3 linked regions of the Arabidopsis thaliana genome follow. The protein of the gene in region 1 interacts with the protein of each later gene in a pairwise test. Each region holds a gene or a part of one and is shown on either strand. Other genes may lie near its edges.

Evidence for each region. Proteins that work in one complex are often made in the same cells at the same time.
Region 2: the proteins of MLO6 (region 1) and MAPR3 interact in a protein complementation assay, tested with the Arabidopsis thaliana proteins (one large-scale study listed by BioGRID).
Region 3: the proteins of MLO6 (region 1) and PAP3 interact in a protein complementation assay, tested with the Arabidopsis thaliana proteins (one large-scale study listed by BioGRID).

The regions. Positions count from the first base shown.
Region 1 is NC_003070.9:22,706,979-22,715,966, reverse strand, and holds MLO6 (Seven transmembrane MLO family protein), read left to right. Parts: upstream 1-3,677; 5' UTR 3,678-3,934; coding exon 3,935-4,057; intron 4,058-4,203; exon of another isoform or gene 4,204-4,310; coding exon 4,311-4,368; intron 4,369-4,473; coding exon 4,474-4,730; intron 4,731-4,804; coding exon 4,805-4,921; intron 4,922-5,022; coding exon 5,023-5,083; intron 5,084-5,170; coding exon 5,171-5,334; intron 5,335-5,444; coding exon 5,445-5,539; intron 5,540-5,618; coding exon 5,619-5,668; intron 5,669-5,763; coding exon 5,764-5,804; intron 5,805-5,844; exon of another isoform or gene 5,845-5,891; coding exon 5,892-6,065; exon of another isoform or gene 6,066-6,147; coding exon 6,148-6,183; coding exon of another isoform or gene 6,184-6,231; exon of another isoform or gene 6,232-6,276; coding exon 6,277-6,344; coding exon of another isoform or gene 6,345-6,348; exon of another isoform or gene 6,349-6,498; coding exon 6,499-6,559; coding exon of another isoform or gene 6,560-6,619; exon of another isoform or gene 6,620-6,645; coding exon 6,646-7,092; 3' UTR 7,093-7,499; downstream 7,500-8,988. Other genes in the region: RALFL8 (ralf-like 8), read left to right, coding at 638-886; AT1G61565 (uncharacterized protein), read right to left, coding at 739-798, 883-892; AT1G61562 (uncharacterized protein), read right to left, coding at 6,156-6,231, 6,788-6,954; AT1G61550 (S-locus lectin protein kinase family protein), read left to right, coding at 8,141-8,988.
Region 2 is NC_003074.8:18,126,622-18,133,914, reverse strand, and holds MAPR3 (membrane-associated progesterone binding protein 3), read right to left. Parts: upstream 4,464-7,293; 5' UTR 4,247-4,463; coding exon 3,939-4,246; intron 2,956-3,938; coding exon 2,562-2,955; 3' UTR 2,323-2,561; downstream 1-2,322. Other genes in the region: AT3G48900 (single-stranded DNA endonuclease family protein), read right to left, coding at 21-183, 305-364, 733-806, 902-974, 1,051-1,102, 1,243-1,370, 1,472-1,533, 1,747-1,904 and 1 more; AT3G48880 (RNI-like superfamily protein), read right to left, coding at 4,907-5,471, 5,678-6,042.
Region 3 is NC_003070.9:5,055,652-5,063,462, forward strand, and holds PAP3 (purple acid phosphatase 3), read left to right. Parts: upstream 1-2,931; 5' UTR 2,932-3,028; coding exon 3,029-3,316; exon of another isoform or gene 3,317-3,734; intron 3,735-3,821; coding exon 3,822-3,978; intron 3,979-4,074; coding exon 4,075-4,182; intron 4,183-4,278; coding exon 4,279-4,406; intron 4,407-4,709; coding exon 4,710-4,838; intron 4,839-4,932; coding exon 4,933-5,000; coding exon of another isoform or gene 5,001-5,004; exon of another isoform or gene 5,005-5,114; coding exon 5,115-5,337; 3' UTR 5,338-5,489; downstream 5,490-7,811. Other genes in the region: AT1G14710 (hydroxyproline-rich glycoprotein family protein), read right to left, coding at 6,517-7,066, 7,156-7,310, 7,416-7,528, 7,601-7,708, 7,787-7,811.

The DNA of each region.
Region 1 (8,988 bases):
TCTTTTGAAATGGAAAAGAGATCACATGAAATAAAATATCAAAAACAATATATGAACTAAATCCAAAGGAAGGCAGCAAGAGAACTAGAGAAGGTACGAGCAAAAAAGGGTATAGGACTGACTGGATATGATGGCTCCGAGAGCCACAAAGGCTAAGGACATCGAGCAAAGAAATGTGAAGCACAGCCCAGCATCTACAATGCAACGTCCATGGATAGAGGCAGCGACAACCAAGCTAGTCAAACTAGAGCCATATATATAGTCAATCTAAATATAGTTATTTTATAAAGATACAAATCCCTAAACTAAATAAATTTGTATGCAAATTCTATAATAATTTTCTAGAAACCTTTTTTTGTTATTTTCTATTTTAAACAGACGTATCTATCTTTATTTTTACTAAAAATAACATTCATTTACTAAAATATATGTGGTTACTAATCATCATCTAAATATAACCAACTTTGAAATCAATCTAGTCTCTACTATATAAACACCAACTAGCGCTTGTTCATAATCCCACAGAGCCAATTCCCGATACATTATCAATTATATAAATAACATAAACTGAACTCCTAAGCAGGGTTCTTTTTATAAATTTATTATTTATTTATTGTGGAAAAAGAACAATAATAATATGGGGATGTCTAAAAGTATCAAGGTTATCCTATCTCTTGCTCTTGTAGTGTTCTTGGCACTTGCAGGAACCAAGGTTGAGGCCTCCGTAAGATACATAACTTATCCTGCTATCGATCGTGGAGATCATGCTGTACATTGTGACAAAGCCCACCCTAACACCTGCAAGAAGAAACAAGCAAATCCTTACAGGAGAGGATGCGGAGTGCTCGAAGGTTGCCATCGTGAAACAGGTCCAAAGCCCACCTAACAGCATTAAATATACATTTGGTTGACATGTTTCTCATTGGAGTATTTGGTTATTTGTATACACTCTTTACATCCTCATATTCATCTGTTAATTTGGCTTTGTAATTGATTGTAATCACATCGTGTTATGGTCAATCATATATAAATATTTTAACGATATATCGAGCTATTTTTCAATTTCTTATAGACATTTGAGCGATTATCATACTTCTTGCCACAATAACAAGAACTATGGGAATATACAATAACTATTAATCCCTAGGATGGAACTTGGAAGAGGTTTCACTTTTTGATTTCACTTTCAACAAATGCGTGTGGCCACATAAACTTTTGAGCTTTGACCCAAATGTTTTATCTAAAGTGGGCTTGCCAAAAAGCTCTTGTTAAAAGACTTGATCACCTCTAGATTAATAGGGCTTGACTCGGACATTTGTGCCAATAGGAAACAAAAATGGATAACCAAAAAGAATACCAAAAGCTGTTAGATAGAATAGGAAAAAGTGTTAAGTGATCATCAGTACAACAAATGTCACATCTAATAAACAAGTAACAAAGTACTACACGGTTCATTTACAAATGAGCTTGTTTGCAATCTTCAAGGAAAAAGTAGTATGCAGCAAATTTCTTCCAAGCAGGAACATTTTGTTTGTTTTCGCGATTTGCAGTAGCGAACAGAATTGACCATGCACGTTTGTATTTTGTAAGATTGACGTTGAGATCACAGCCCACCGGGACTGGTGAGATTAAAGCATGTTAGAGTATGTTAGAGTTTTGTAAGGTAAGTACGACCGGATAATACACATATTGAATTGCTATTTGTCATTAATAAATGTCATCACGACAGTCGAAATAACATCATTTGTAGTAGACATGTATGTTGTCGTTTGTTACAATATTTTCTTACCAGATTAGTATTCATTATAGACGTCAATGCATAAAATTACAGATGTACGAACGTATATGTAGTACCATGTGCATGGTTATATCAATATTCGTTTTAGGTTTGTTAGAATGCAAATTAATCGTTGTAGAGCCATGTCCGCATTGCATTGAAAAATGTAAGTCTATAACACAGTTTTACATGACATGTTAATGACTAGGGTTTGCCAAAATATATAAATACTTGATTTGATTAGTTATATGTCCGAATCTGTTTTAAATTATCATACGCGCGCCAATTACAAATTGTTTATCACAATATACAAACTACAACACCATATTTCATTATAGTAAAACCAAAATTTAACTACGAATCTGAACGTAGCCCTGCTTTATGATAAATATTTCCCGAAAAAAAATCATTAGAATTCCTATAATGATAAAAAAAACGCTGGTTCTTATGGTAACACCATGTGAAAAGTGATGACTTTTTCATAGCAGTAGAAGTAGTCAACTACCTCAGATAAGTACTGTAATTAAATAAACTAATTGCCCAAAATGATACAACTTTGTCGCATTAAATTAAAAGTTAAACCTTCACTGGATGCATTACCAAAATGGTCATATAACAATACGTAATCCAACTCGCTGTAGCTATCAATCTCTTTATCACAACCAACCAATATTCAACAATGTTGTTTTATTTATTTTTCATATGGTTTATTTAATCACCTCGACTTTTTTGGCATCGATCACATCTACAAATAAATTGTTAGTTAGCACGACCGTTATTATTACTTTATGAAGAATTGTTAATCTGAAAAATATCCTTTTGATATCAGTTGGAAATATTTTTTTAAATAATTTATTATGTAGAGCTTGCGGCTGAGTCAAATAAAAATAAAATTGAAAACTAAAAGCGTGATTGACAAAATGACTTTAAAGGCTGATTTGTTTTTGAAAAAACCAAGTTCTTAAGAACACATTTGAACCAATCATCGAAATATATGGTGGAAATATATTTCTACCAAAGATTTGTTTTTTAACCAAATAATTGAACACAACGCTAACTGAATATTTTATAAAACTGATACAGATTTATTAAAAATTTTGCTAATAAACATTATAAAATTGCTTTTACCAATTATAGGATGTATTGTATCTCTTGGACTTTAATATCGTTGACGATCTTGACAAATAAAAAGCTGGCGTTTCATTAAATTGGTATTTACAATGAGAAAAATGTGTGGGATCCAAAACTGGATATAGGATTCGCTTTACTGTATCTGGATCCGAAACTCTAAAATATGATGTTTCTTATGATCTGGATTTTTTCAAACTATAAATGATTTCTGAATTTCCGTGTATGTCAACCAATATTTAAAAACAGATTATATTTCTTAAATATTTTTCAGATTTTTTGAAAAATATTCTGTAAATTACAAATGCAAATAAATTATTTAAGACCGTTAAGGATCAAATATGTTTTTAGTTTATTCAAATCTCTCGTTCTCTCATATCGCTATTTTGTACTTAGTTTAGATAAAAGTATTAAGTTTGGCTTCTTAGAATTTGATGTTTCTTTTTTTCGTTTTTGCTATCGACTTTTGTTTTTTTTTTTTTTACTATTTTGTTGTTATTTATCTATTCCTTAGATTTTGGTTTTGTTTCTGATACTTATATTTTCTGTAATTTATGTCGCAACTTCAAAAATAATATAAATACTTTACATTGATATTAAAAAAAAAAAATTGAGCTCTAATGACCTTTGGAGCTCATGCTCATCTATGGAAAAAAAAATCCATGCAGGAAGAACCAAGAGGAAACGGTATACAAAATAATATTAAATAAATAATTATTTGTCAATAAAATAAATAAAAACTCACCAAAGTACATAACAGTTCACACAGCATGTTTTTAGAAAAGATCATATACTATTGGTTTCAAAGTCTTTGACTTTGAATGTTTGAACTTTTCAAGGTTCGCCTACTCGCCGGTCGTCTCCTTTAACCTTCGTCTCTGTGTTTATATAAGAACATATACGTATTTGATGATTACAAAAAGACAATTCTTTATCCTTCTTTAGATTTCTGTGGAAAGTTCACTATTTATTAGGAGAGACAATTTCAAAAAGGAAAGCTTTTTGCTTGGAACTGTTCTGTGAGTTCTAATGGCGGATCAAGTTAAAGAAAAGACATTGGAGGAAACTTCTACATGGGCCGTCGCGGTGGTTTGCTTCGTCTTGCTTCTGATTTCGATCGTTATTGAAAAACTTATTCATAAAATTGGATCCGTAAGCCACTTTCTTAACCTTGTTCTCCTCCTTCAAGATTCTCTGTTTCTGTATCTGTTTAGTTCTTCCCAAAAATCAAACTTGATTGTTCTCACGAACTTACATCAGTTTATGTTTGAAACTGCCAAAACCCAAACGGGTTTTAGTCTTTTTTTTTTTTTTTTTTTTTTGTATGTACTTGTGTCGGTTTCATAGTATCCTCTGTTTCTAATACTAAACAAAACTCTGTTTTTTTTTGTGTTTCTTCTTACAGTGGTTTAAAAAGAAGAACAAAAAAGCTCTATATGAAGCACTTGAAAAAGTGAAAGCAGGTAAATTTATTGTTAATTTAAATCATTATAAAAAGAAACAAGTTTTCCCTCTCAAAGATTCTTTTAATCACCTTTAGTTTTGGTTAATTATATGTGAATTTACAGAGCTTATGCTGATGGGATTCATATCACTACTTCTAACAATTGGACAAGGATATATCTCAAATATTTGCATCCCTAAGAACATCGCAGCATCGATGCACCCTTGTAGTGCATCCGAAGAAGCAAGAAAGTATGGTAAGAAAGATGTCCCAAAGGAAGATGAAGAAGAAAACTTGCGTCGAAAGCTTCTACAGTTAGTTGATTCTCTTATTCCTCGAAGGAGTTTGGCTACTAAAGGTTATGATAAGTGTGCAGAGAAGGTAAATTCTCATTCTATAGAAATATTTTCTTTGTAAGAGCCACTAGTGTGACATTTACTAATGTTTGTTACCAGGGAAAAGTCGCTTTTGTATCGGCTTATGGCATGCATCAGCTGCATATATTCATCTTTGTTCTTGCGGTTTGTCATGTGATCTACTGCATTGTTACTTATGCTTTGGGAAAGACCAAAGTAAGTTCTTTTATATCCATCCACATTCTGATCACACCGGTTTTGATGTTCCTTTTTTCGCTGAAGAGAAGATCTTTTTTGTTTTGTTTCTGTTATTGCAGATGAGAAGGTGGAAGAAGTGGGAAGAGGAGACTAAGACTATCGAATATCAGTATTCACACGGTATAATTTACAAACTTGGAATGAAAAATTGATTAAATGTAAAACTTGAGTGTGAAGTTTCAACAAGGAATGATTCGGATAATGTAGATCCCGAGAGGTTTAGGTTTGCGCGGGATACATCTTTCGGGCGTAGACATCTGAGTTTCTGGAGCAAATCAACTATTACGCTGTGGATTGTATGTTTCTTCAGGCAGTTCTTTAGATCTGTAACCAAAGTTGATTACTTAACACTGAGACATGGTTTCATCATGGTATAAGTCAATCTTTTGATCTTTAACTTTTCTGTTGTATAATAACTTATCTCTCAAGGCAAAGATCTTACAGCATTGCACGAATGCTTCTTCTTTTTCTTCTGTTTCAGGCCCATTTGGCTCCTGGGAGCGACGCAAGGTTCGATTTCCGAAAGTATATTCAGAGATCACTAGAGGAAGACTTCAAAACCATTGTCGAGATCAAGTATGGAACTAATTAAGATTACAAACTCCACTTCACTAACCACTACTTAATCTGATGTTTTAACTGCTTATATCTTCAGCCCTGTGATCTGGTTCATAGCTGTGCTATTCCTCCTGACAAACACAAACGGTACACTCGTTTTCAAAACGTCGCTGCATCGATACCTCTTTAAAAGCCTTCAACAATCCAAAACTAATAGATTACTCTGCTTTTCTAATGAACAGGATTGAATTCTTACCTCTGGCTACCGTTCATTCCCTTCATCGTAAGCAACAACCAAAACCTTTAGACTAAACCTATTTTGTTTCGGTTTCAACTCCGTAACAAGAATGAATGTATAAACAAACTGCAGGTGATTCTTATTGTTGGAACAAAACTTCAAGTGATAATAACAAAACTAGGACTTAGAATCCAAGAGAAAGGCGACGTAGTGAAAGGCACACCGCTAGTTCAACCCGGTGATCATTTCTTCTGGTTCGGTCGTCCACGTTTCATTCTCTTCCTCATTCACTTAGTCCTCTTCACGGTATACATTCATCTTTTACTTTCTACTCTCTCTCCTTACAAAAATGCCTGAAATTTAACCATTTCTTTTTCGCCATCATCAGAACGCGTTTCAACTAGCTTTCTTTGTCTGGAGTACGGTAAGCAAGCAATCCTGCATTCTCCATGAACTTGAAACGTAATAATACCTATACAATCATCATTTTCATCAAAATCTTTTGTTATCTCTTCAGTATGAATTCGGTCTAAAGAACTGTTTCCATGAAAGCAGAGTTGACGTGATCATCAGAATCTCAATCGGGTAAGTGGAAAACATAAGCTTCAAAACCCTTCATAGAAACCATCCCTTAACATCTAACAAAGTCACAACCTTTTGGAAAACATAAGCTTCAAACATAGAACTGAGAAACCATTCCTTAAAATCTAACAAAGTCACGACCTTTTGGATCTTGCAGACTTTTAGTTCAGATTCTTTGCAGCTACGTTACTCTTCCTCTATATGCTCTTGTTACTCAAGTAAGATCCACGCACACACAAAAACACATAAAGATTGAAACTTTCAATTTCAAAAACTGACATTTTTGAATTCAATTTTGGTGAAGATGGGTTCAAAGATGAAACCAACAGTGTTCAACGAGAGAGTAGCAACAGCGTTAAAGAGTTGGCATCACACAGCTAAGAAAAATATCAAACATGGAAGAACTTCAGAATCAACAACACCTTTCTCTAGTAGACCAACAACACCAACTCATGGTTCTTCTCCGATTCATCTCCTTCGTAATGCTCCTCACAAACGAAGCAGAAGCGTTGACGAAAGCTTTGCGAATTCGTTTTCTCCGAGAAACTCTGATTTCGATTCGTGGGATCCTGAGTCTCAACATGAAACTGCTGAGACTTCGAATTCGAATCATCGTTCTAGGTTTGGAGAAGAAGAATCGGAGAAAAAGTTTGTTTCTTCATCAGTGGAACTTCCTCCTGGACCTGGACAAATACGAACACAGCATGAGATTAGTACTATAAGCTTAAGGGATTTTTCGTTTAAGCGATGATTTAATGTTTTCTTAATTCATTATTTAGTGATTTGTTAATATGCTAAATGAAACCAGTTCTTGTAAATTTTCTATACTATGTTTGTTAAAACCAGCCCTTGAAGCTTTAATTTCTCAATGTAAAAGTCTGATGATTTTGGATTTTAAGACTATGGAGATTCATGGGTAGTTGGTGAAGAGTGTTCTTGTCTTTTGGGTTTGAGAGTTTGTGGAAGATGTGTTAGCAGATTTAGAAAGCATGCAAGGGGTTTGATAAAATGCCTGAGTGAGACTTGGTTTTCCTGAAACACAGTGGTTTCTGGGTGTAGATAGATTGGATTGGCGAGGATTGTATTTTGATATGGTTTGTAGAATCTGAAGACTCGTTTTATCGCCACTATTTTTTTGAGTATTGACAAGGTGATTAGGGATCTCTTGTGAATGCCTTCAAGGATTTGGTTGAAATGCAATTTGCTAGATAGCTCTTTAGTGGAATGTTATATTCATGGGGTTCGATGAATGACGGGGTATGTGCAAAATGAGAATTTTAAAAAAGCAATTCGTGAATTTATGCCGGACAAAGGGTTGGAAACCAAGATCATTGGTGCTTTGCATGCTTGTGCTTACGCAGGTGATCAGGACCTAGTGGCCAGGCCAGGACCGTTGTATCTTGGAATACTAGATGGCAGATACGTTGTATTGGGGTCAAAAAAGGTCAGTGGTACAATTCTCATGTTTGAAAATGAATGGTAGCGGTGTTGCCTATTTTTCATTGGTTGTGGGCTCAATTTACCTGAAAATAATAGGTCAACTGTTGCATGGTTGATTGGGTAAACATAAGCATTTCACTTTTCTAGAATCTGTATTATAAAACAAGGTTTTAAGTTGATCGTGAATAAAGTAATGCAGAATCTTGGAAAATGGGTGCTTTGTAGTCAACATTGGTTAGAGGTGCTTCCATTTTCTATTCAGCACTTGACTTTGTTTTATTTGCTTACTTTTCTCTTTTTTACAGTATACATGTTCTCTTCCTACAATAATCTGAGGAGATTGTTCTTGGACATTGGGGATGACGAGGTTTGCTTGCTTTCTCTTCTCTACCTTGCTCTTAAGTTTTAGCTATGCAGCTATAACACCAACAAGTCCTTTGTCAATTGGACAAACTCTCAGCTCCCCTAATGGAATTTTCGAACTGGGGTTTTTCAGTCCTAATAACTCTCGGAATTTGTATGTTGGAATCTGGTTCAAGGGTATCATTCCCCGGACGGTTGTGTGGGTGGCCAATAGAGAAAATTCTGTTACAGACGCCACTGCGGATCTAGCTATCAGTAGCAATGGAAGTCTTCTCTTATTTGATGGCAAACATAGCACTGTCTGGTCCACCGGAGAAACTTTTGCATCTAACGGGTCTAGTGCAGAGCTTTCAGACAGCGGAAATCTTTTGGTCATAGACAAAGTTTCGGGAATAACTCTATGGCAAAGCTTTGAGCATCTTGGTGATACTATGCTACCTTACTCCTCCCTGATGTATAACCCCGGCACTGGTGAGAAGCGGGTATTGTCTTCTTGGAAAAGTTACACTGATCCATTGCCTGGTGAGTTTGTGGGTTATATTACAACACAAGTGCCACCACAGGGGTTTATTATGAGAGGCTCGAAGCCTTATTGGAGAAGCGGTCCTTGGGCTAAAACAAGGTTTACTGGCGTACCACTAACGGATGAATCATACACACATCCATTTAGCGTTCAGCAAGATGCAAACGGGTCAGTATACTTCTCTCATTTACAAAGAAACTTCAAACGTTCATTGTTAGTATTAACATCAGAGGGGTCACTGAAGGTTACTCATCATAATGGCACGGACTGGGTATTGAACATTGATGTTCCAGCTAACACATGTGATTTTTACGGTGTATG
Region 2 (7,293 bases), on another chromosome or scaffold:
GAAGTTGTTGCTTTCATTACCATTTATAACCACCAAAGGTAAGGTCCCCTTTTTGCTGCACACAGAAGGCCTAACTTGCTTCTTAGACTTTCTCGGCTTTTCCGCAAAGGAAAGTCCTTCTGATGCAACTTTTTCAAGGATAACATTGTCTCCAATCGACCTAACAAGCTCACAAGCTTTCTCCTGTACACAGAAGAAGTTTAATCGTGAGTCTTTTGTAATCCAATTCTAAATAAAACAGACAACCTCGAATAACATATGACCCCGATAGATGGAGGTTTAAAAGCTTGAGTTATCTACACACCTGTCGAAGACCACGAACTCCCTGAGAGTAGTCACTGCCAAGCAAAAGCGCTAGAGCTATCTGTAACATCACCCAAGAAAACATTGTATACATGACCTTACCATTTGATGAAACATAGCTAAGATTTTAAAGTTCTTTGACGCATGGAATAATAGTCAACACTCAACAATGTGTAGCTGGTTTTCTTGTCTACTGATGCTAACAAAGGAATTGAGCCCTTAAAGCTACAACGTTGCAGTAGAACCATTCATACACATAGTATCTATCTCACCTGAGTTTATAAAATATCAAAGGCCACCTTTTGCAAGCATTGCATTCATGCTTCTACCAATCTAATCATTTTATAATAACGTGGTGCAGCTTTATAGAAACGAAAGATCAGGGTTAAGTATATAAAGCTAATCACTTAAAGAGGTTTGTTAATTTACCAATGAGTTCCGTCCAAGCCCAAGCTTTTTCTTGATGTCATCCATCTCGTAGCAAACAACATAACCTCCTTCACCTAGTTCATTGGCAAATTTATTAGGACTTATAATACTATTAACCATATCAGACGGTAAAAGAAACCAACACACTAAAGAGTCTCTTTCCACTGACCAAGGCATATTTCTCTGTATACAGTCTTTGCACCAAAAAGGAAGATATCCGAATCAAAGCTAAAACAGGCGTCCTATGGATGATCATTGAATATTGGGTTAACAGCATGACGAACAAGAAACTGATTAAAGCTGAAAAATGCGTCTTACACATAAGGATTCCGAGTTTAGCAGAGCGCATTGCGCCTCAGCCTCCTCAATCCTGCATTTGATGGAAAATACAGAACAGAATCAGTTTCTCATAAGCAAAGTTAAACATTCAAACCAAAGTCTCATAAGCAAAGTTAAACACTCAAACCAAAGTCTCATTGTCAATCTAAGCTAACTGTCTTGAAGCCCTACCCGTCTAAACAAAGTATCCCTAGTGTTGATGCAATAACTTTCGCCTCTTTTATGATGCACGAGAACTCAGACCCCATATTTCTTTTGAGTGAAGTCTCTTTGCTAGGCTCAACACCATCGTCAGCGATCTGGCTGAACCAATATAGCACGAAATCGAAAAAAACAATCCAAAAACTAGCCATCATATGCAAGGATGAAACCACAAGTGCCACATTTGACATCATTGTACCTCGAATCTTGCTTTTAACCGACGCTTGTAAGTTGGTACTTTGATTCCAGGAATTGCACCATCTACAATTACATGCCACATTCCAACAAGTCAAGTATGCTCAATAGCATTGAAAAAACTAAACTTTAGAGCAAAGCATCAATAAATAAGAACTGATTTGACCACTCATGCTTCTATTACTCAAATCAATTCACAATGACAACAATACAACACTACATAAACCCTAATTGGCTCTTCTGATGGCAATTTTCAACAGTAGGGTAGAATTAAATTACCTGAGACTAAAATGATGGAGCAGTTTAGGGCAATTAGGGCTCGGAGACGATGAAAAAATCCTCGAAGATAAACTTTTTCTTTAGTGGCGCAATAAGATTTGTTCACTTTATGCAATTCCACCATCCAACACGAAAGATCCACGCATACCCTTTTGTTTCTACAGCGATTACGAAGATCTCGTAAAGACTTGGTCTTTTTAAACACCCAGAAAAATTAAAGAGAAATTGAGACGAAGAAACAACTCACTGAAGATGATCGAGTGGGAAAGTCTTCTTACAAGGCTCCAAGACATCCCAAAGATACTTCACTCCCATAGCTTCACCTTCGAGATCGAGCGAGAGAGAGAGACAGAGACAGAAAGAGGGAAGAAAATGATTTGACAAGATATTTGAATTTTGAAAATTTGGTTCAATAATAATTCGAAACCGGTCGGTTTGAAGGTTCCAAACCGAAACCAAAATTATTGCAAATTCTTCACTTCGGTTCGGCAACAGACCTACCATCAAATGTAAGTTGGTGCTTCGATTTTAGGAATTGAACCATCTTCAATTACCAGGCACATAGCAGGATGTCAAATATGAACTAAGCATAAACAACAAGTGAACAAACCCTGAATTATAGAACTGTTTATCGATTAATACTGTAGAAATAATGTATTTTGAAGCTTCCATAACCAGAATTAGATGTCATTATACAAGATCCAAAAAGTACACACAAGGTCACCATTTTTATTGAGCTATATACGACTCATACTTAAACCCTGAAAAATCTCACTAATTTCTCAAGAGAAACTGTGCCTCTCATTACATTGACTTTACTCCTTTGCAGCATCATCATCATCAGTTGCAACATCTTTCTTCTCCGTGGTTTCCGCGATTTTCTCGCCTGTGCTTCTAGAAGTTTCATCATGGGTAATTGCTGAAGCTTCTTCTCCAGTGTTTGTAGAAAGACCTTCCGCAGAGGCAGTCTTTGCTTCGGAAGGTTCTGAACTTTCTTTGCCTTCTCCATCCTTCTTTTGAATGGTTCCGACTTTGACATACTTGCTCATGAACTTGTACTCCCAGTCTTGTAACGCCTCTAGCTCAAATGCACCGAGACCTGAGATGTCTCCAGTCAAGTCTTGGTCCTCAAATGACATCTTTGCCAGAGCTCGGCTTGCATCTTTCCCTGCAAACAGAGCATATGGCCCACCTGGTCCATAAAACATCCTGCATAAAAAGAACAGATGGTCATGCAAATTAGCGACCAGTAAGAGTTAAGTAGAGTTTGAAGAATGAAAAACTACAGCTTGGCACATATGAATATGATTCATCTAGATATGTAGTACAGCTGATGAACTATGTACAAGAAAAAAACTAAAAGTTATGCATACATATACATCGACATGTATATGCGTTGATGAGTGTGTCTGTGTCTGTCGCCACTATGAACAAGCAAAACGGTATGATCACTGAAGTGATTATTTCATCTAGCACAAAACCTAATTACCACAACGAAGTTTTCGGTAACTGGAATGTAAAAGAACTGTCTAGTTGACAAGTCAGGGATCTAGACAACTGCAGCATGGTTACATACCAACAATGTTCGCCAAAACTTAATTTACAAACGTCATGGAACACAAATAGCAAGCAAATGTGGATAATTAATCAGTGAACGATCTCTTTCGCCACAATAGCAATATTAGAAGCCAAACCTTTGACGAGTTTGTACGTTATCAATCTCTACTAATCCAAGATGTAATCTAAATACAGGTTTTTCTAGTATAAGAAAAAGTAGAGATCTTTCCGATAACTTGAATACAATACAATTGTATCAGTGCTTCTAATGGTATTGTTCCAAGAAAAGAAGTGAAAAAACAAACACTAAGATGCAAAAAGCAATAAAAAGAGCATCATAAGATTATGAACAAAAAGGAGAGAATATTCATCAAAAAGATTTACTAAAAGTGTTCAGTTTTACAATAAAGAATCACTTAAACTAGAGTTCGAGCATCAGTAGATATACTAGAATCATAAGATAGATAGTAATTGGAAACTTCGGATTATAAATCAAACAGTCAACCATGATTAACTAACCTAAACCCCAAATCTCGAAACTATTGGGTTGAATCGTTTATTACTGGTAATTTAACTAGTGATCATTTGGATTCAATCATAATTTAATGAACAAGTAAAGATTTCACAAGAAATACCTGCTCTGAGAAACATCATAGATCTGGCCCTTGATCGCCATAAGAAGGGGCTTTTTAGAATCGGAGCCATCATAAAGCTTAAGCTCCTCCTCAGTGATTTCTCCGAGCTGAACCGGCGGTGGAAGAGGCTCCGATTGAGGCTGAACCTCCAAAGAACGAGGTCGGTGAACTTCAGGAGAAACGAAGAAACCGGAGACGACTTGGTAAACGGCGAAAGCGAGAGCAAGTACGGTGAAAAACGCAGCTGGAGAAAGTCCAGTGTAAGCTGTGATTGTTTCCTTCAACGTCTCCCATATTTGCTGAACCATGATTTGAGAAGCTATCGAGAAGCGAAAGAGAATGAGAGAGAAGAGTAACGTTTTGTGTTTTAATTTTCAGATTTATTTGCGATCGAATTAAAACATATATATAATATCTTCAATTTTTGGTATAAAATAAAATAAAATGGTCAAATTACGCAACAAGAATTTTAAACGATTTTGTTTAACAGTCGTCGTCCATAATGACCGTTGATGTCTGAAAAATATTTTCTTTTTGTTCGTGTGAAACATACATAGAAATTTTCTAAACGTTTTTAAGAATATATATCGTTACCTAACTAGTGGTGGCTGAGCTCGATAAAACGGTGTCGTTAATGCCGCCGGAGAAGACTGGTAGGTAAGAACTAAGAAGAATAAGATATAGACCAAAAAAAAAAGGTAGATGATTTGCAAAACAAATGTGACTAATAATGCTAATATCAAGACAAATAATTGTAACAATATTGTTTTATTTTCCTATTTGGTGTGCAAGGTTGGTGGTGATCAAAAGTTGATCACTACAGACATTCATTGGCATAGCCTACAGATATATACACATAATACGATTCAAATCAAAACAAACAACACAAAGAAATAAACAATTCAACAGTCAAAGATGAGAACAATAACAAGTTAAGTCCTTCACAGAGAATGATCACAGCAGAAACATCAAAGATGAAGAGAACTCACTTCATCAACCTTCCAGTCTCCTTCCTCATACTTGTACCATCTCACAATCCCTTCATCGTTTTCAGTCCTCTGACACATCACACACGTCTTGTGATCCATGCAAGTCAAGAATTTCTTTAGCCTTGCTGTTTTCTCCATTATCGTCTTATCGAGCTCTCTAACAATCACCTTCTGCTGAGGCTGCCAACCGCTGTACTCCACTAGGTGAGAGTGTGATATGTTGAGCACTTCAAGGCTTGGTAATCCGTCAAGGATTTTCATCAGTGCTTCCCGCTTTATCGCCGAGCATCTGATGCTGAGTGTTTTGATGTTTGGGAGGCAAGTGATGAGCGTGTTTGCAAAGAAGACCTCGAATGGACCCATGATCTTCAGCTCTTTAAAATTCTTGCAGTTCTTGGCAATTTCTGTTAAGAGATAAGGCGGGTTTGCGATGCTTGGCATTGTTAGTGACTCTAGATCTTTCCAGATTCTTATCGCTTTGCATATACCAGTCTTCTTTATTCTGTTCCAAGCCGGTAGGACGACCCGTCTCAACCCTGGACACCTGCAAAATATTCAGTACAACAAATTTTTCAACTTTTAGCATTTGCGAGATTCAGCTTAATTGTAATTCAGCAATTTTGACTGAAAGTGGGTACATGAACTTAACCAAACCAAAAACTGAACCAACTTTTGACTAAAAAACCATAGTTTACGGCCATGATGAAACAATTTGGAAGACAAATAAGTGGAAGAACGAAAAGGACATACCTTTCTGCGGTGTAAGTAAGCTGATCATCACTCAAGAACAAGTTGAAATGAAAAATCAAGGTCCTCGTGCTTCCTCCGCTAAGGTTCATGGAGAGTTTCAGGATGCGGGTTAGGGCCTCATCAGATCGGCGTTCCACATAGACATAAGGCTCTAATGGGATCTTGATGAAACTAGATCTCATGTTTGACAAATCCACCGTCTTCCAAAGAATCGGATCGCAACAAGCAGCTCTCCATCCTCTACAAACATGAGCTAATCCCGAAGTCAACTCAAAGACGCTAAACTTCTGGAAAATTCTTACTAAGATGTCAGTGTCCAACTCTTCCCATCTCCTCAATCGACGACTCTCATACTCTTCTTCCATTCTTGTTGTACCCTAAACAAGCATAAGAACGTTAATCAACTGTTGTTATCCACAAGAGCTTATAGAAATAGGAAAGAGCACAACTTTAAGAAGTAGGAAAAGAAACACACATCAGTTCTCTTATTCTCTCATAAATATGAAATTCTAATCAATCAATCCTCCCTGAATCCCTCAATTTCCATGATTCCATTTCCATCACAGGATTGATTGATTGCATCAATCAATGAGTTATTACTGCTATAAGTGAAATGAACTACAGAACCCAACTATGATAATGTTGGAGTTAAGTAATCAAAGTTTAAAGTCCCAAAGAGAAAGACTTTTCTTCCCTCAGGTAAACCAATACAAACACCAAAGCTAGATTATATTCTTACATGATCATCATAATCGATCTTCATCACTATTTATCAGAAAAAGGAAACACCAAACCTTAGAAAGGAAAACTTCCGTATCAGAATAGTTCAACAAGGAATTGAAACCAAACATAAAACCAATCTACAGAGGAATATATGCAAGACAAGTCAAGAGTCTCAAACTCTAGAGATTGTGGCCAAGTAATTGAAGATCAACCATTAAAACTCAGAAGAACATGAAAAGACATAGAATTTGACAAACCAGAAGACTAAAGATCGTAAAACTCACTAGGACAGAGAATTAAGCGAAATCTGATGTAAAGGAATCGAATTTCGAAAATCTAGAGGAATAAGATTGAAAACCCCCAAGACTCTGTCAACAAATCAATCTGATCTCTTCACATTCCCAAATCAGTCGAACTAAAAAACCGAAGAGACAGATCTCGAATCGCCATTTTCTCAATTCAGAATTGAACAAAGAATCAAACGAAACATAGACATGAATTAGATCATAAAGAAGAAGCTGAAACACGCAAAGGGGCACTGAGAGAAATGAAGAACCTACCTTTAGGAAGAGGCAAATCGTTTGGCGACGACGACACCGTTACAATCTGTCTCTAGCCAATGGAAGTAGATGATATGAATTTTTTTATGATAAATCGGTTTGGTTTTGGTTTGACGGAGTTTTCAGATTAAACCGGTCTTAAACTCAACACAAACCCTTATCTTTGGGAACAAGATTCTTATTGAGGTTGACTCTTTAAAAAGTAGTTAAATCCGACGGTGGAATACACTTATGAGTAATCTAACGGCTGGTATGCAACTTTGGTAGGTGAGTGTGTTTAATCTATGAAGGGCGGCGATGCGAGAGAAGATAAAGAGAGAGAGAATAGAGAAA
Region 3 (7,811 bases), about 18 Mb from region 1:
AAAAAATTGTAATTTAAATACTACTATCGACGTTGAAATGAACCTTTAATCATGAGAATAAAGAGGTAAATCACTTTTGAATGATGAAATGCAGAAATAGTATTTGTTTTGAGTGAAGCTAAAATTAATAGAAGATGTGTGTATATTTTACAAGAAAAATATGCCAAATTGGTCTAATCAAAAGCAAGGAAGTGGTGGTGGCCAATGTCACTCCACTCCACTAATTTCATTAAGAATAAGTTGAAAATCTTATTTCTATATTTAATTTAATCAGCAAAAAAATTAGTATCATTATCCAAACCTTTCATTATTGCTTGCCACAACTGCTAATTTTTTTTTTTTGTTGTCTGAATTTTATTAAAAACCCAAGGTAGAATACCATTTGAAATACAAACGCCGGCAGACCAACTAAATGTCTCCAAAAACTAAGCCCAAAAGAGGAAAACTAAGCCTCAACGGAACGGAGAAACTATTTAGACCAACGAAGAAAACAAAAGACAAATATCTAAAAAAGATCAACCGTTAAGGGAAAACGAAGATCTAAGCACTAAAATTGCGCAAAAGAACCAGGAACCCTCACAAAGCTTCCCCAAAGAAACGGAAAACGTCGGAAACACCAATAAGATCGGAAAGAACTCACATCGAAGTCAAACCACTAGCAATCCGACAGGGAGGAAAGCAAGAAGCCACCAGAGCGAGAGACACAACTACTAATCAAATAAGCAATTATTATGACATTATATATTGAATTTCTGATATTTATGTTTGTCTTATAACTATGTTAATATCTCACACGTACTGACAGAACAAGCAGCCTTACTTTAGAAAGTTTAGAAGAAGACAGAAACAGGATAATCCCAAACATTGTGTTGGGTTGCTTGAATTATTAGCCGACAAGTTGAGTTCTAACCACTTCATTCATAAATAAAGAAGTCAGCTGATGAAGATTATACAACAATCTTTGTCATAAACTACGTAAAGATAATGAAGTAGCTAGTCCTGTATATATTATCTTATGTTTCCTGGTACTAGTTCTGGTGCGACTGCTAAAATCTAAATTGTCGTCTTTAGATTAACATTTGTTTTTTTTTTCTCTCTATGAAAGTACTAAATTTTCATAGGATAAGCCATTCAAAATATCAATTACAGTGACTATTGAGTATTGACTAATATTATTTGAACTCACAACTCACCTACATGTATTAATGTTTGCATTATTTTAGTGATTGCTAAAACACATAAGTGTCACATGACATATATATCATTGTTTAGGCTAAACATATTATATATATGGTCTATATTATAGATATCGATCCAAGTCTATTAGCCAATCCAACACTAAAACAATCCTCTTGTAAATGAGTAGCTCATGACGACATTATTCTGTTTCATTTTGGAAGCATTAGCATCATTTCCACACACACGTGTTGACCTAAAAAGGCCTATATTTGTTCTATTTATAAAGCCTTAAATTAAAGACTCAAGCAATATCACATGGATCTAATATATAATCATATGTTGCATAGAAAAAAAGAACAAAAAAGAAATAGAGAGAGGTGGTTGAATGATTTAGGCTTTACATCAAACCCACTGTTTCAATAATTTTGTTAGGTGTGTGTGTGTATGTGTGAATACAGCTAGAGAGTTTCACGAAGAAGCTGGTTGGTCAAAACTTTTGACTCGAAAGGAATTGCTGACAAATCGATCAATCAATTTGCTTCAGAGAGAAAAAAAAAACACATAAACACAATTGACATCTCTCTATCTATACGGTCCGATACTAGACTTGGCGAACCAAACTAAAGATACAGTAGGACACTGTGACTGTCTAGGACCACCAGAGATATTCAGTGAAGTTTCTATAGTCATCATAAGTCAATCTTGCTGACTACATCATACTAATAGGAACTATAGTCGTAAGGAACATATATACCACATTAAGCTTGTTTCTTTTGATTAACTCCTCAAGTTGTTTTCAAAATACTCGACGAACTAGACTGAATCAGCAATAAGACCAAACATGTAAAATAAACGTTGCAGAAGTTAATGCTCATTAGTTTTCTCTTTTGTAAGAACATACAAACACACAGGTGACAAGTTTTGGCCAAGAATTACAAAATAATATGATACCTTCATAGTCATACCTCAGAATTAATGTCCTAGTCGAGAAGCAGAAGTTTGTTTTTATAGATCTTTCTTTTCATTAGAGAAATGGGTATCGGCCCAATAACATAGGCCAACCCATTTGCATTTATTTTCTCATATCCAGTAAGGATATACTTTCAAATTTTTGTATAAATGGGATTTTGATTTTTCTTTAATATGTTGAACGAATTTAGTAAACTATTCACATTATTTTATGTTCAGAACTATACTGTAAAATAACTAACGGTCAACAATAATTGAGAGAATTTGGAAGTTTTCGTTAGACTCACATCAATAATGTGACTCAAAGCTAATAATTGCAATTTCCGACAAATTTGTGGCATGGGCGTTTATGCTGTCTTCTACTCTTCTTGTATGACAACGCACATACCCGAGCTTCGTAAATTTTATTTCTATTTTTTTCAAGTATATTTTGTTTTTAAAATGCGATTTTAGAAAGAATTTGTGTGATCAGAATTCACGGTGTAATAATAGTTTGTATGCATACTGTTGTTTGATGTGTCATAATCCAAATTTAGATAATATGTTTATGTATAATGTTAGAAATAAAAATGTAGTAGAAATTTACGTATATTTTCACTGATAATAGAAATTTTCAAATATCCTTAAACTGTCAATATCCAATTTCTTTATGTTTAAAATATTTCAACAGCTAATTTTCAACCGCTATTTATTTTATTTAAATTTATCTTGTCATTATATTTCGTTATTGATAAATATCTGAAAAAGTGGGTGACAAAAAAATTACCGATTCAAATTATTGTAATAAAATTGACAAATCAAAAGATTGAAATAGAAAACAAAAATGGACTACATTTCTCAAAATGGCAAATAATTTTTATTCATATTTATCAACCTCGAAATGACCTACATATATAGAGACACAAAGATCACAACAAAATCAACCATTCCTTTCCTTATCTTCTTCCTCTTTTGCTTTTCTAATCTCTCAATGGCTACCTTAAAACACAAACCTGTAAATTTGGTATTTTACGTTTATAATTTGATTATTATATTCTCCTCCCATAGTTCCACGGCGGAGCTCCGCAGGCTACTGCAGCCATCAAAAACCGATGGTACAGTGAGCTTTCTCGTTATCGGAGACTGGGGAAGAAGAGGCTCCTATAATCAGTCCCAAGTAGCTCTTCAGGTTACTTCTTATTTTCATTTACAAGTTATTTACTATATTTCTCGCCTGTACGCATATATATAAATATATAATGCAAATTCAATAGTGTATAATTAATACGTATTACGTAAACATATATATGCGTATGCCTTCAAGAGCATACGTGATATGAGGATCAAATTTACTGGTCTTCATATTAATGCCGGCCCTTATGTTTTTATATTATTCTTTTTTTTTCTTTTTTTTATTATTATTATTCAATTTCAATATATATTACTAATTCTTGAACACCATGTTATAAGATACCATAAAAAGAAAGAAAGTCATGTTAGAGGAACTTGAAAGATTCGGTCTGTGTTAAGAAAACAGCTTTAGTGTACGAAGATATTCTACATATGATTTTTGTTTGTACTGTTGTTTTGCAGATGAACTCAATGTGGTAAATTTTATGCTAGTTTGATGTTTTCTTTTATACTGTTGTTTTTAGTTATTTTATGCTAAATTATTTCACACGAAATTTAAACAGATGGGAGAAATCGGAGAGAAATTAGATATCGATTTTGTGATTTCTACTGGAGATAATTTTTACGACAATGGTTTAACCAGCTTGCACGATCCTCTATTTCAAGATTCTTTTACCAACATTTATACCGCTCCGAGCTTGCAGAAACCTTGGTATAGTGGTAAATGTGTGGTTCAATGTGTACATTCGTCGTTGGATCTTAATTATTAAACGATATGTGGTTCAATGTGTTAATTACATTTTCTTTAACCTAAAGTTTTAGGAAATCATGATTATAGAGGTGACGTCAGGGCACAACTTAGCCCTATGCTCAGAGCTCTGGACAACAGATGGGTTTGCATGAGATCTTTCATTGTAAATGCTGGTAATTCCTCCTATATAATATTTCTTCAAAAGTTAGAAATATTTTATTAATCCTCCAATTATTTTTTTATTTTTGTTAATTTCGTTAACTGAACAGAGATCGTCGATTTGTTCTTCGTCGACACAACTCCGTTCGTCGATAAATACTTTATTCAACCAAATAAGCATGTTTATGACTGGAGCGGTGTATTACCTAGGCAAACATATCTGAATAATCTCTTAAAGGTAACAATTTTTTAAGTAAATCTTCCTTTCTTTCTTTTTTCGTCGAAATAGAATTAATATTAACTTAGGAACGTCATTATATACGTGTTTTGGGCAAAACATTCCTTTTTCTTTTGTTATGATTGGATTTTTTTATAAAGTTATGATTGGATGTTAAACGCAGCTTTTATTTTGTCTATTTTCAAATGGAATCGCGTTTTAATTAGGTATGTAATGCGATATGATTAGAGAACAATCTGCCAATGCAACTTTTTTTCTTTTTACGAGCGAGTGACTAACGAAAGCTATAATGTAATAATATAGGAACTCGACGTGGCGTTGAGAGAGTCAGTCGCAAAGTGGAAAATAGTGATTGGTCACCATACGATCAAAAGCGCAGGCCACCACGGGAACACCATTGAGTTGGAGAAACACCTTTTACCTATTCTCCAAGTAACAAAACCATTCCATTCATATAATAAAGTTTATGCACCAATAGAAAAAATCTATCTAATTAAATCTGTTTTTTTTGTTCTCGATTTACTAGGCAAATGAAGTGGATCTCTACGTAAACGGACATGATCATTGCTTAGAGCACATAAGCAGCGTGGACAGGTAGAATAAATTTATTTATTTGTTCGTTAATTATTTTCTTATTAATCAATTATTGTAACGTAAGGGTCCACGTACGGGAGGATATAAAATGTCACCATTTTTGGTTGCATATAGTAACATACAATTTATGACAAGTGGAGGTGGATCCAAGGCCTGGAAAGGAGGTGACGTGAACTACGTTGAACCAGAAGAGATGAGGTTTTACTACGACGGACAAGGTTTCATGTCGGTTCACGTTTCAGAAGCTGAACTGCGTGTAGTCTTTTATGATGTTTTTGGACACGTTCTGCATCATTGGAAGAAGACTTACAAGGAGGCGCTTTATTTCGCTTCTTGATTCCAATTTAATCGGACGTAATTGTTTATGATCGATGTACTATGAAATTATCAATATCGTACTTCGTCGAATTTTCGAATCACATTATGATATGACAAGAACATATCAGCAGCATCAGAAAAAAAAGTCAATGAAATCTTTATTGCGTAAAAGTACAGTTTCAAACAAGATATTATTGAAAATTTGTAAGATGTGAGATTAACTAGAAATACTGCATGCATATACTGTATATACATATCGAATCTAAGCATATTAAAATGTAAATATCATCCTCTCTTACGCTTCCATATTAATTAAGTTAATTAATTTTCGTTATTCTTATCCAATTTGATTAACAAGTTTTCCCGAAGCATGCGTGCATACAGTACTCTTGTGTAGTTTGTAGGGACACAAAATGGGTCCGATTCTCATCTATAAAGATAGATAATGATTTTGTTACATGTCTTTTGTCCTGTGCTCAGATTCTCTTCAATCATGTAATATATATAGATAAGTTATAGTGAATTATGGATTATATGATAAGATAAATGATATACAACTCTATGTTGTGGATGAGATTCTGTCACATAATTTCACAAGCCCCGGATCTCTCATATTTGATCGCAAGAACACTTTTGCTCATACCAAAATTATCTCCCAAAAGAAATATAATAGTCATTCTATTAAGGCTTATCTTATTTTACTTTTGGTGAGACTTAATAGAGTGGACAAAGGAATGAAGACATGGGCCACTGCCATGAACCATGGGACCGAACACACAGCTGAACTTGTATCACACAACAGAGATAAAGGCTTCATATCTTAGCTTTCGAATCCCAAAAAATATTCCAAGAAGAAAAAAAAAAAGTAACTTTCTTGAGAATCTTGAGACACTTTGGAGAAAAACAAAGGTATATATATATATGCATGTGTAAGAAGATATTATGATTCAGTCGAAACGAGGCAGAGATAGAATTTGAATAGAAAGGAAAGGATATAGATGAATGATTTTAGAGAAGAGAGTAGAAAACGGGTAACTTTTCCTTGTTTTGACTCTCCTAAAAATAATTTCTCAAGTGGCAAAAACAAAACGACATTTCATCGAATTCACCGCTCTTTTAACAGTTTGTAAACTGCACCTCAGATTTCATCTCCCAAAAACTATTCTCTCTCTTTGCTCTATCTTCTCTTCTTCAGCTACTAATTGCTCTGTTTACCGTTACTGCCATCGCATTCCCCTTCACCAAATCCGTTACGAGCTTCTTCTTTCGCCTTCAAATCTAATTTTCCTTCTGTTCCGTTGCTGTTGTCAGCCAGTTCTTGATTTGAACCGGGTGGGAGGAACACACCAGTGCCTGGGATGGGCATTCGAGGTTGTGGTGCTGTCTGGTGTCGTGGATGAGGTGGCAGCAGTGGCCAGACAGGCGGCCCGGTTGGTACACCACCTGGGAACGGCATTGGAGAGGCAAGTGGAGGAGAAGGAGGGATGAAAATCGGTTGAACAGCTCCGTTTGGTGGGCGGTGAGACGGAGTGGGCAAGACACCAGTGGACGGGATAACAACAGGGTAGTGTTTAGGTGGGCCGGTTGGGTGACGGATGTGCTGATTTGGCGATCTGCTCGGCGGTGGTCCCCAGTTAGAGTTTCTCGGTTTAGATTTGATGAAGCTAATGAGTATCCGTTGCTTTCGGGTTGCGTGAATTGCATACTTAGCAAGATTTGCGGATTTGCCTTCCACCAAAAGAACCGATCTGTTCAAAGTTCAAAGTACCAAATATAATTGATGATAAAAGGATTGAAAGATCTTGATTTTACAGAATAAGTGATATGGATCGGTTACCCGGGAGTGAGAGACAGCTTGAGAGAGCCTTTGTAGTCGCCGGGATTTTCAGAGACAATGACTCTTCCAAATGTATAATCACATTCAGACAAGGACAAGACACTGATGGGTCGTCCAAACCAGGGAACAAACATATGAGGCTGCGAGTGATCTCCCTATGGTTCACAATAACAGAGAAGACACAAGAAAACTTCTACTTTGTTAAGAAAACAGAAACAGATAGTTTTAGGGGTTGCAAAGAATTTAGCAATCAGTTTAACCTCGCTGAAGAAATCAATGATGCATGCGTCTGGTTTCACAGGTATGATTTGCTTTGAGACCAAACGTTCAATGATGTCTGAAAGAGCTGATGGGATTGGCTCTATTCTTCGATCTGCATAAAGCCCATATCTCATGTTAACCAATACACAGAAATTATAAGTAAATAACATTTTAAAGGACTTGCCTTTGATACTATCATCATCAGGCGGCGTATCAGCTATAGGAAGACCGAGTTGGATCATCTCACGTCCATGTCCTCTATTTGGCCGTTTATAACCCACATATGCCTCACCTGTTTCCCATTAACCAAGGGTTTAATACCTGACTAAAACAAGTTAAATCATTATTGTAGGGCAAACAAGATTCTTACTTTGAAGTTGACCTCTTCTTCCAGC